Saccharomyces cerevisiae S288C: one gene and its partner. The protein of the gene in region 1 purifies or fractionates together with the protein of each later gene. This does not show direct contact. Each region holds a gene or a part of one and is shown in the gene's direction. Other genes may lie near its edges.

The links. The genes of interacting proteins can lie anywhere in the genome.
Region 2: the proteins of MCM2 (region 1) and RFA1 purify together in Saccharomyces cerevisiae (affinity purification with western blotting; 4 studies listed by BioGRID). This does not show direct contact.

What each region holds. Positions count from the first base shown.
Region 1 is NC_001134.8:173,035-179,417, reverse strand, and holds MCM2 (MCM DNA helicase complex subunit MCM2), read left to right. Parts: upstream 1-1,891; coding exon 1,892-4,498; downstream 4,499-6,383. Other genes in the region: ATP-dependent Lon protease PIM1, read left to right, coding at 1-1,544; NCL1 (tRNA (cytosine-C5-)-methyltransferase), read right to left, coding at 4,830-6,383. UniProt on the Saccharomyces cerevisiae protein: Acts as a component of the MCM2-7 complex (MCM complex) which is the putative replicative helicase essential for 'once per cell cycle' DNA replication initiation and elongation in eukaryotic cells.
Region 2 is NC_001133.9:156,254-160,795, reverse strand, and holds RFA1 (replication factor A subunit protein RFA1), read left to right. Parts: upstream 1-2,176; coding exon 2,177-4,042; downstream 4,043-4,542. Other genes in the region: YAR009C (truncated gag-pol fusion protein), read left to right, coding at 1-199; tRNA splicing endonuclease subunit SEN34, read right to left, coding at 1,003-1,830; COMPASS subunit protein SWD1, read right to left, coding at 4,511-4,542. UniProt on the Saccharomyces cerevisiae protein: As part of the replication protein A (RPA/RP-A), a single-stranded DNA-binding heterotrimeric complex, may play an essential role in DNA replication, recombination and repair.

The sequences.
Region 1 (6,383 bases):
TGGGTAAAGTCGATGGTAAAATCATATGTTTCGTAGGACCCCCAGGTGTTGGTAAAACGTCCATAGGTAAATCTATCGCTAGAGCTCTTAACAGGAAATTCTTCCGATTTTCTGTAGGCGGTATGACGGACGTGGCAGAAATAAAAGGTCATAGGAGAACGTATATTGGTGCCTTACCTGGCAGAGTAGTTCAAGCATTAAAGAAGTGCCAAACTCAAAATCCTTTGATTTTGATAGATGAAATCGATAAGATTGGACACGGCGGCATACACGGCGATCCGTCCGCGGCATTGTTAGAAGTATTGGACCCTGAACAAAACAACAGCTTCTTGGATAACTACTTGGATATTCCTATTGACTTATCAAAAGTGCTTTTCGTTTGCACTGCTAACTCTTTGGAAACTATTCCAAGACCTTTACTGGATCGTATGGAAGTCATTGAGTTGACAGGATATGTTGCTGAAGACAAGGTTAAGATTGCCGAGCAGTATTTAGTTCCAAGTGCCAAGAAAAGCGCTGGTCTAGAAAACTCTCATGTTGATATGACAGAAGATGCAATAACAGCGTTAATGAAGTACTACTGTAGAGAAAGTGGTGTAAGGAATTTGAAAAAACACATCGAGAAAATATACCGTAAAGCAGCCCTACAAGTGGTAAAGAAGTTGAGTATTGAAGATTCCCCAACGTCATCAGCCGACAGCAAGCCTAAAGAAAGCGTTTCTTCCGAAGAAAAGGCGGAAAATAACGCCAAAAGCTCATCGGAGAAGACTAAGGACAATAATTCGGAAAAGACAAGCGATGACATTGAAGCCTTAAAGACCTCTGAAAAGATCAATGTTTCCATATCCCAGAAAAACCTAAAAGATTACGTTGGGCCTCCAGTCTACACTACAGACCGGTTATACGAAACAACTCCACCAGGGGTAGTTATGGGGTTGGCGTGGACTAATATGGGAGGTTGCTCACTTTATGTAGAATCTGTCCTTGAACAACCTTTACACAACTGCAAGCATCCAACATTTGAAAGGACCGGGCAACTGGGAGATGTTATGAAGGAATCATCAAGGCTTGCTTATTCATTCGCCAAGATGTATTTAGCACAAAAATTCCCTGAGAACAGATTTTTTGAAAAGGCGTCTATCCACTTGCATTGTCCTGAAGGTGCTACCCCTAAAGATGGTCCATCTGCAGGTGTCACTATGGCCACTTCCTTCCTTTCCCTAGCATTGAATAAGTCGATTGACCCAACGGTTGCGATGACCGGTGAATTGACACTTACCGGTAAAGTTTTACGTATCGGTGGGTTGAGAGAAAAAGCTGTGGCCGCTAAAAGATCTGGTGCCAAGACTATTATTTTCCCTAAAGATAACTTAAATGATTGGGAGGAACTTCCAGACAATGTAAAGGAAGGGTTGGAACCTTTAGCTGCTGATTGGTATAATGATATATTCCAAAAATTATTCAAGGATGTGAATACGAAAGAAGGTAATTCAGTATGGAAGGCTGAATTTGAGATTTTGGATGCTAAAAAGGAAAAGGACTAACTTTTCATCTAAATGGATTAAATACCTGTTTAAACATTCTGTAAATATTTAAACATAAACATCAATTTTATTACACAATACTAAATTCTTTCTTTTCTTCGTGAAGTATGTATGTGGGAAACCCAAGATGGCGGAATCGCGTGTAATATTATTTATCATATGCCTTTTTTAGGAAATCTAATTACTTACCGAAGAAAATAGGACAACGAAAAATTTCGAGAAACGAAACCAGAAAGTAAATGGTGAATATCCTATAATCTACACATTTTGGTACAGTTTACTTAATAATACTCCACACACCTCTTTGCCTCTTTTCTAAGAAGTATAACACAACTACAATATAAGTGATGTCTGATAATAGAAGACGTAGACGTGAGGAAGATGATTCGGACTCAGAAAATGAGCTACCGCCATCCTCACCTCAGCAACATTTTAGAGGGGGGATGAACCCAGTTTCATCACCTATTGGTTCTCCAGATATGATTAACCCTGAAGGTGACGATAATGAAGTTGACGATGTACCAGATATTGATGAAGTTGAAGAACAAATGAACGAAGTAGATTTGATGGACGATAATATGTATGAGGATTATGCGGCTGATCATAATAGAGATAGATATGATCCAGATCAAGTTGACGACAGGGAACAACAAGAACTATCTTTAAGCGAACGTCGCCGCATTGATGCTCAACTAAATGAAAGAGATAGGCTATTGAGAAATGTTGCCTACATAGATGACGAGGACGAAGAACAAGAAGGTGCAGCGCAACTTGATGAAATGGGCCTTCCTGTGCAAAGACGAAGAAGGAGAAGGCAGTATGAGGACTTAGAGAATAGTGATGACGATCTATTGAGTGACATGGACATTGACCCATTAAGAGAAGAACTTACTTTAGAATCTCTGAGTAACGTTAAGGCTAACAGTTACTCGGAATGGATAACACAACCTAATGTCTCAAGAACTATTGCCAGAGAGTTAAAATCATTCCTGCTGGAATATACAGATGAAACGGGTCGTTCTGTATATGGTGCACGTATTAGAACATTAGGTGAAATGAATTCTGAATCTTTGGAGGTTAATTATAGACACTTAGCGGAGTCCAAAGCCATCCTGGCACTATTTTTAGCTAAATGTCCAGAAGAAATGTTGAAAATATTCGATCTCGTGGCTATGGAGGCAACAGAATTGCATTACCCAGATTATGCCCGTATTCACTCCGAAATTCACGTAAGAATCTCTGATTTTCCAACAATATACAGTTTACGTGAATTGCGTGAGTCTAATTTGTCCTCTCTAGTACGCGTCACTGGGGTGGTGACAAGAAGAACAGGAGTCTTCCCTCAATTAAAATATGTCAAATTCAATTGTTTGAAATGTGGCTCCATTTTGGGCCCATTTTTTCAAGATTCTAATGAAGAAATTAGAATCTCATTCTGTACAAACTGCAAATCAAAAGGTCCCTTTAGAGTCAATGGAGAAAAAACTGTGTACCGAAATTATCAAAGGGTTACGCTCCAGGAAGCTCCCGGAACCGTTCCTCCAGGCCGTCTACCAAGACATAGAGAAGTCATTTTGTTGGCGGATTTGGTAGATGTATCCAAGCCAGGTGAAGAGGTAGAAGTTACCGGCATCTACAAAAATAACTACGATGGTAACTTGAATGCAAAGAACGGATTCCCCGTTTTTGCAACAATTATCGAGGCAAATTCTATAAAAAGAAGAGAGGGCAATACAGCTAACGAAGGCGAAGAAGGGTTGGATGTTTTCAGTTGGACTGAAGAAGAAGAACGTGAATTTAGAAAGATTTCTAGGGATCGTGGTATAATTGATAAAATTATATCATCGATGGCACCGTCTATCTATGGTCATAGAGATATTAAAACTGCAGTCGCGTGCTCATTATTTGGAGGTGTTCCAAAAAACGTCAATGGAAAACATTCTATTCGTGGTGATATCAATGTGTTATTATTAGGTGATCCAGGTACTGCCAAATCTCAAATCTTAAAATACGTCGAGAAAACAGCGCATAGAGCGGTCTTTGCAACTGGTCAGGGTGCTTCGGCTGTCGGTCTGACAGCATCCGTCAGAAAAGATCCTATTACTAAAGAATGGACCTTAGAAGGGGGGGCGCTAGTATTGGCTGATAAGGGTGTTTGTTTAATTGATGAATTCGATAAGATGAACGATCAGGATCGTACATCTATTCATGAGGCTATGGAACAGCAAAGTATTTCCATTTCCAAGGCCGGTATTGTTACTACATTACAAGCGCGCTGCTCAATTATTGCTGCGGCAAATCCTAATGGTGGTAGATATAATTCAACCTTGCCTTTAGCTCAGAATGTTAGTTTGACCGAGCCTATTCTGTCTAGATTTGATATTTTATGTGTTGTCAGAGACCTTGTTGATGAAGAGGCAGACGAAAGATTGGCCACATTTGTTGTCGATTCTCATGTAAGATCTCATCCAGAAAACGATGAAGATCGAGAAGGCGAAGAGCTTAAAAATAATGGCGAATCGGCGATAGAACAAGGAGAAGATGAAATAAATGAGCAGCTTAATGCAAGGCAAAGAAGACTTCAAAGACAAAGGAAGAAGGAGGAAGAGATCTCGCCTATTCCACAGGAATTATTGATGAAATATATTCACTATGCGAGGACAAAAATATACCCTAAATTGCATCAGATGGATATGGATAAGGTTAGCAGGGTATATGCGGATTTGAGAAGAGAAAGTATTTCTACAGGTTCGTTTCCAATCACAGTTCGTCATTTAGAATCTATTCTAAGAATTGCAGAATCTTTTGCTAAAATGAGATTATCTGAATTTGTGTCTTCTTATGATTTGGATAGAGCTATCAAAGTTGTAGTTGATTCCTTTGTTGATGCCCAAAAAGTCAGTGTTCGCCGCCAACTCCGCAGGTCTTTCGCAATTTATACCTTGGGTCACTAAAACTTTGTTATTCCTACGAATATCTGGATATGAAGATAAAAAATTCTCTGTCTCAATCCATGTATTGGCAATCCTATTTTCAATATACAAGTTTCCTTTATTTTTTGTATAATTTTTATACACTGTATCTTTAATTTCAATTCAACTAAATACTCAAGATCTAGTCAAAAGTGCATTATTTACTATCCAAAAAAAAAAAAAAAAATGAAGTAAAAAAGAAGTAACAAGACCGAATAAAAAAGGCTCATTACTGAAGTATTATATTCTTATTTTTGCCTTTTAATAATATACATTTACTTTACAGTGGAGGGGATAAGAAACATGATAACTATCAATTAGCAGCGCTAGGAGCTTCAGTAGAGGTTCCGGTAGTAGTTTCTGCGGGAGATTCAGTCGTTTCTTTTTCTTTTTCTTTTTCTTCAGCGCTTGGAGTAGCCTTGGCATTCGCATCAATACCAAAGATCCTATATAATAGCTCATGAGTATCTTCTTTACAAACCATCAAATTGATACACTTGTTGCCTTTCCACACAGGCAAGAATAAGTTTTCTTTGGCAGGGTCATTTCTTGACACATCAATAAAGGCGCAACCAGAGCTTAATTTTGTCATCTTTTCAACAAAATCATTATCGATGTTCTTCGAACGAATGTCGTCAAAGTTAGGGAAAGATTCGATTAACAAGTGTTTTAACATCTCTAAATTAGCTTCAACAATTCTATTAGATTTCATATGGTGTTTCATTATTGGCAATGATTCACTTTGGATTCTCCATGAACATTCGATATCACTTCTTTGAGAGACAAACAATTTTACACCAGAATAAATAATCTTCAACCTATCGTCATTCGCTTGAATAACATCCTTCAATGCTGGACACACAGTGTAAACCACTCTTGTTGGTTCACCAGTGGCGTTACGCACTAAACAAGTGTTTCTGTCGAAAATATTATCGATGCCGTAGAAATCCCAACAAACTTTTAAAGCTTCGTGCTGTGGATCAACGAAAACAAAAGGCTCTTCGTTCGCGTCACGTGGTAGTCTTTCTTTCTTTTGGACTTCTTCTACCTTTATTTTCTTTGTTTGAGGTCCTTCAGACTCTAGAGCTGGGGTTTCAGAAGATAGTTTCTCTGTAGCCGCCTCAGTGCTATCTTCGACTTTTTCGAAAACAGTAATGAAAAATCCGCCTGTGTTTTGTTGGTGAGGATAAACCCTCATACAATTTTGTAAATTGAATTTCGATGCCTCTTCTTCAGATGGTGAAAAGAAACTATCTAGTGTACCTTCGTCTCCTTTGGTTTTCTCAGTCAAATTTCTGTCATAGACAGGCCATTTGGATACACCCTTGGATCTTATTAGGCCAGGAAGCTTATCATCACAGTTAACTAATCTAATCTTGTCACCCCACTTTCTTAACGCTTCGGCAACAACCGCTTCATTTTCAATAGGATTTAAAGAACAGGTTGAGTAAACCAATCTACCGTTGTTCTTTAGAAGATGCAAACCCCTGTTTAATATATTCAGCTGAACAGCATGCAAACCAAGACCTGCTTGTGTGTTCCAGTCTTTCCAAACATTAACATTTTTCCTCATGGTACCATCACCAGAACATGGAACGTCACACAGGATTCTGTCAAATTTTAAAACATCATTCTTGTTATTTGAGTTGCCATGTAATCTGATACGTGGGAAGAATTGGGCGTCATGGTTGACAACCATCAAGTTGGCACTGTTCAATCTCTTCAATTGGTGAACCAACATATGAGATCTTCTGGCATCGGCATCATTAGCTACAACGAAACCAGATGGTTCATCTGTATCCTTGTGCAAGGCTTCGATTAATTGAGCAGTTTTGGAGCCAGGAGCAGCACACATATCTAAAACAGT
Region 2 (4,542 bases), on another chromosome or scaffold:
CAGTATAATTAAGTCTACAAATGAAGAGAAATTTAGAAACAGATTTTTTGGCACAAAGGCAATGAGACTTAGAGATGAAGTATCAGGTAATAATTTATACGTATACTACATCGAGACCAAGAAGAACATTGCTGATGTGATGACAAAACCTCTTCCGATAAAAACATTTAAACTATTAACTAACAAATGGATTCATTAGATCTATTACATTATGGGTGGTATGTTGGAATAGAAATCAACTATCATCTACTAACTAGTATTTACATTACTAGTATATTATCATATACGGTGTTAGAAGATGACGCAAATGATGAGAAATAGTCATCTAAATTAGTGGAAGCTGAAACGCAAGGATTGATAATGTAATAGGATCAATGAATATAAACATATAAAACGGAATGAGGAATAATCGTAATATTAGTATGTAGAAATATAGATTCCATTTTGAGGATTCCTATATCCTCGAGGAGAACTTCTAGTATATTCTGTATACCTAATATTATAGCCTTTATCAACAATGGAATCCCAACAATTATCTCAACATTCACCCATTTCTCAGAACCAACTATCTTCGATCAATTTGTATTAAAACTGCTAGCATATTATCATATATGATGTAAAAAGACGACATAAAGGTCGAGTAACAATCATCCGATATAACGGAAGCTGAAATCCGAGGATCGATAATATAGCATAATTACTTGTATGAACGATGCTAAAATATTTGTTCCTTCACATCTACACGTGGAAGTAAATGAACTGGATGTCAACAGTTTAGAAGAGCTTTTTTTTCGGTTCTGGTAAACATTCAATAAACTGTTTTGCTCCCACTAAATATAAATAAACATAATTATATGTCTAGTGATAAACAACTACTTTCCCGCTGAATGCATCAAAATATCAATGCAAATTTAAAAATTGTATTACACATATGTATGCTTCTGAAAAACCTTATAAATACATAAATTCTGAGAAAATAATTATACATGACTGATTCCCAGCTTAACCAAATCCAGCCCATTCTATTGAGAAGAAATGAGTTTCCTTTGTCTCTTCCGCAACACCGCCTATGACCCAAAGTTTTTTCACAGTCGTTCCTAGTCTTGCACCACTTATCATGGATATTAGGTCAATCGGCTCATTATGATAATCAATCGCATCTTGTATCGTCAGATGTGAATGGAAACGAAGAGGATCACCAGGGTATGCTATAAACTTCCCACCAAAACGTCCACCTGGGGACAAAACGTACCCTTGATCTCTCAATGCCTTGTATAAGAAATAGGTCTGCATTTTTCCTGCCTGTCTGTACTGCTTAAATAACAAATCACTGATATCATCGCGGGATAAGCTGTCTGAATCACTCCGTATGTCTCTTAAAATCATAGAGGTATTAGCAATGTCAATGAACAAAGAAGATTCAATTAGCTGGTCATTATTGCTAGATTTATCAAGCCGTTGCAATTCTTCAGCTGTGGTTTTATCATTGATTCTACCGATTTTCTTTAATTTTGCAATGTGTTCATCCTTTTTGAACTTTCTCTGATATTCAAATGACTTGTTCAAACGATCGTTGACAATTTTAGATAGTTTGGCGCCCCGCTCTAATGTTATTCCCTCCATAATCTCATCTCCCTCTTGTCTTATTAATTTCACATCGGCAAGATTGTTCAAATGCAGCCACAGCACATCTTCTAACATAAGCCTCAAAGGTACCGACAAAAATACATTTTGCTGTGCTGCAGTAGGCAAAGTTCCAGATAACACACCACAAATACCCCATTTCCTTAGAAGTTTGATGTGATCTATGTCAAATACTAGCGGTGGCATAAAAACCTCCTCGCCTTTTGCCGTTCTTTTTGCATATATGTTAATAGCTATGCGCGTACCACCTTCTTCAGCCATATACGAAAGGATCTATGCTAATTGGGTGGATTTCTTATCGCATCACTTTCTTATTCTCTAACTCTTCTTCGCTGCTCAATAAAATATCTCTGCTTGGAAAAATGTCACGCGTAAAAATTAGACGAGGCGACAAAAGACGCGTGAACTAACATAAAGGTTTACTTGAACAAATGTTATCACTTTAAGTTCTACACGTAAAACAAAAACTATTCACTCTTCTTATTACGGTAAAGGCGAAACCAGCAAGAAGACCAGATTATACTTACAAGAGATGAGCAGTGTTCAACTTTCGAGGGGCGATTTTCATAGCATCTTCACCAATAAGCAAAGGTACGATAATCCCACCGGTGGCGTTTATCAAGTTTATAACACCAGGAAATCTGATGGGGCTAACAGCAACAGAAAGAATTTGATCATGATTTCCGATGGTATTTACCATATGAAGGCTCTGTTGAGAAACCAAGCTGCATCCAAGTTCCAGTCAATGGAACTACAAAGGGGTGATATCATTCGCGTGATAATTGCAGAACCTGCTATTGTCAGGGAAAGAAAGAAATACGTTCTTTTAGTAGATGACTTTGAGTTGGTCCAGTCGCGTGCTGATATGGTCAACCAAACTAGTACTTTTTTGGATAACTATTTCTCAGAGCATCCAAATGAAACCTTAAAAGACGAAGATATAACTGACAGTGGTAATGTTGCCAATCAAACAAACGCCAGCAATGCTGGTGTCCCTGATATGCTGCATTCAAACTCAAACTTGAATGCAAATGAGAGAAAATTCGCCAATGAAAACCCTAATTCGCAAAAAACCAGACCAATTTTTGCCATCGAACAACTGTCTCCATACCAAAACGTTTGGACTATCAAAGCAAGAGTTTCCTACAAGGGAGAAATTAAAACGTGGCACAATCAAAGAGGTGATGGTAAACTATTCAATGTCAACTTCTTGGATACCTCTGGAGAAATCCGAGCCACGGCGTTTAATGATTTTGCTACAAAATTTAACGAAATTTTACAAGAAGGCAAAGTATACTATGTATCAAAGGCAAAACTCCAACCAGCTAAGCCCCAATTTACTAATCTAACACACCCTTATGAACTGAATTTGGATAGAGACACTGTTATAGAAGAATGTTTCGATGAAAGTAATGTTCCGAAAACCCATTTCAATTTCATCAAACTAGATGCTATTCAGAACCAGGAAGTAAATTCCAACGTAGACGTCCTCGGTATTATCCAAACTATAAACCCACATTTTGAGCTAACTTCAAGGGCTGGGAAGAAATTCGATCGTCGTGACATCACAATTGTTGACGACTCTGGGTTTTCTATCTCTGTTGGCCTATGGAATCAGCAAGCCCTTGATTTCAACCTTCCTGAAGGTTCTGTTGCTGCCATTAAAGGTGTTCGTGTGACGGATTTTGGTGGCAAATCTTTGTCTATGGGATTTTCTAGTACCCTGATTCCGAATCCAGAAATTCCTGAGGCATATGCCTTAAAGGGTTGGTATGATTCCAAGGGCCGCAACGCAAACTTCATCACTTTAAAGCAAGAACCCGGTATGGGTGGTCAATCGGCTGCTAGCTTAACAAAATTCATTGCTCAGCGTATTACTATTGCTAGAGCTCAAGCTGAAAATCTAGGAAGAAGCGAGAAAGGTGACTTTTTTAGTGTTAAAGCTGCTATAAGTTTCTTAAAAGTTGATAATTTTGCATATCCTGCCTGTTCTAATGAGAATTGTAATAAGAAAGTTCTGGAACAGCCTGATGGTACTTGGAGATGTGAGAAGTGCGACACCAATAATGCAAGGCCAAATTGGAGATACATCTTGACAATATCAATTATTGACGAAACCAATCAACTATGGCTCACTTTATTTGACGACCAAGCTAAACAATTATTGGGTGTTGATGCTAATACATTAATGTCTTTGAAGGAAGAAGACCCCAACGAATTCACAAAAATTACTCAAAGTATCCAAATGAACGAATATGACTTTAGGATTAGAGCGCGTGAGGATACATACAATGATCAAAGCAGAATTAGATATACCGTTGCTAACCTACACAGCTTGAATTACAGGGCTGAAGCCGACTATCTTGCCGATGAGTTATCCAAGGCTTTGTTAGCTTAATGTATCAAATAATCAAGTACTATTTAATCTATGTAACATATGAGAAATGTAAAAAAAAAACTTCTATTTCGTCAAGTTTTTGAAGGGCGGTTCAGCATCTCTTGATGACTGGATATGAAACTACACGTTCAGTCATATGAATTTGAACCCATAATGCACAAATGAATAAAAATGCTAACAAATTCTAATTAATGGCATGGTACTAACACCCAACAATTTACCGCCCTTTAGGTGTACAGCTTCAAATAACAAAGCTTTACAAATTCACCTTCAACATTTACGTTCAGTAGTATGAAATTACCATCATGACGTGCTCCTATCAAAGTGAGATTATTGCACTTCGTATTATTAGGAAATTACCAAAAAATGCAAAATTTTTCAATTCTGTGTCAAAGAAATCGCGGTAGGCATGACTATACCTCTTCAGTGTCAGTTGCCTATTTAAACTTTCTCCTTTTGAAGAGAAACCTATGATGACTGCATCTTAATTATCCTCGTAT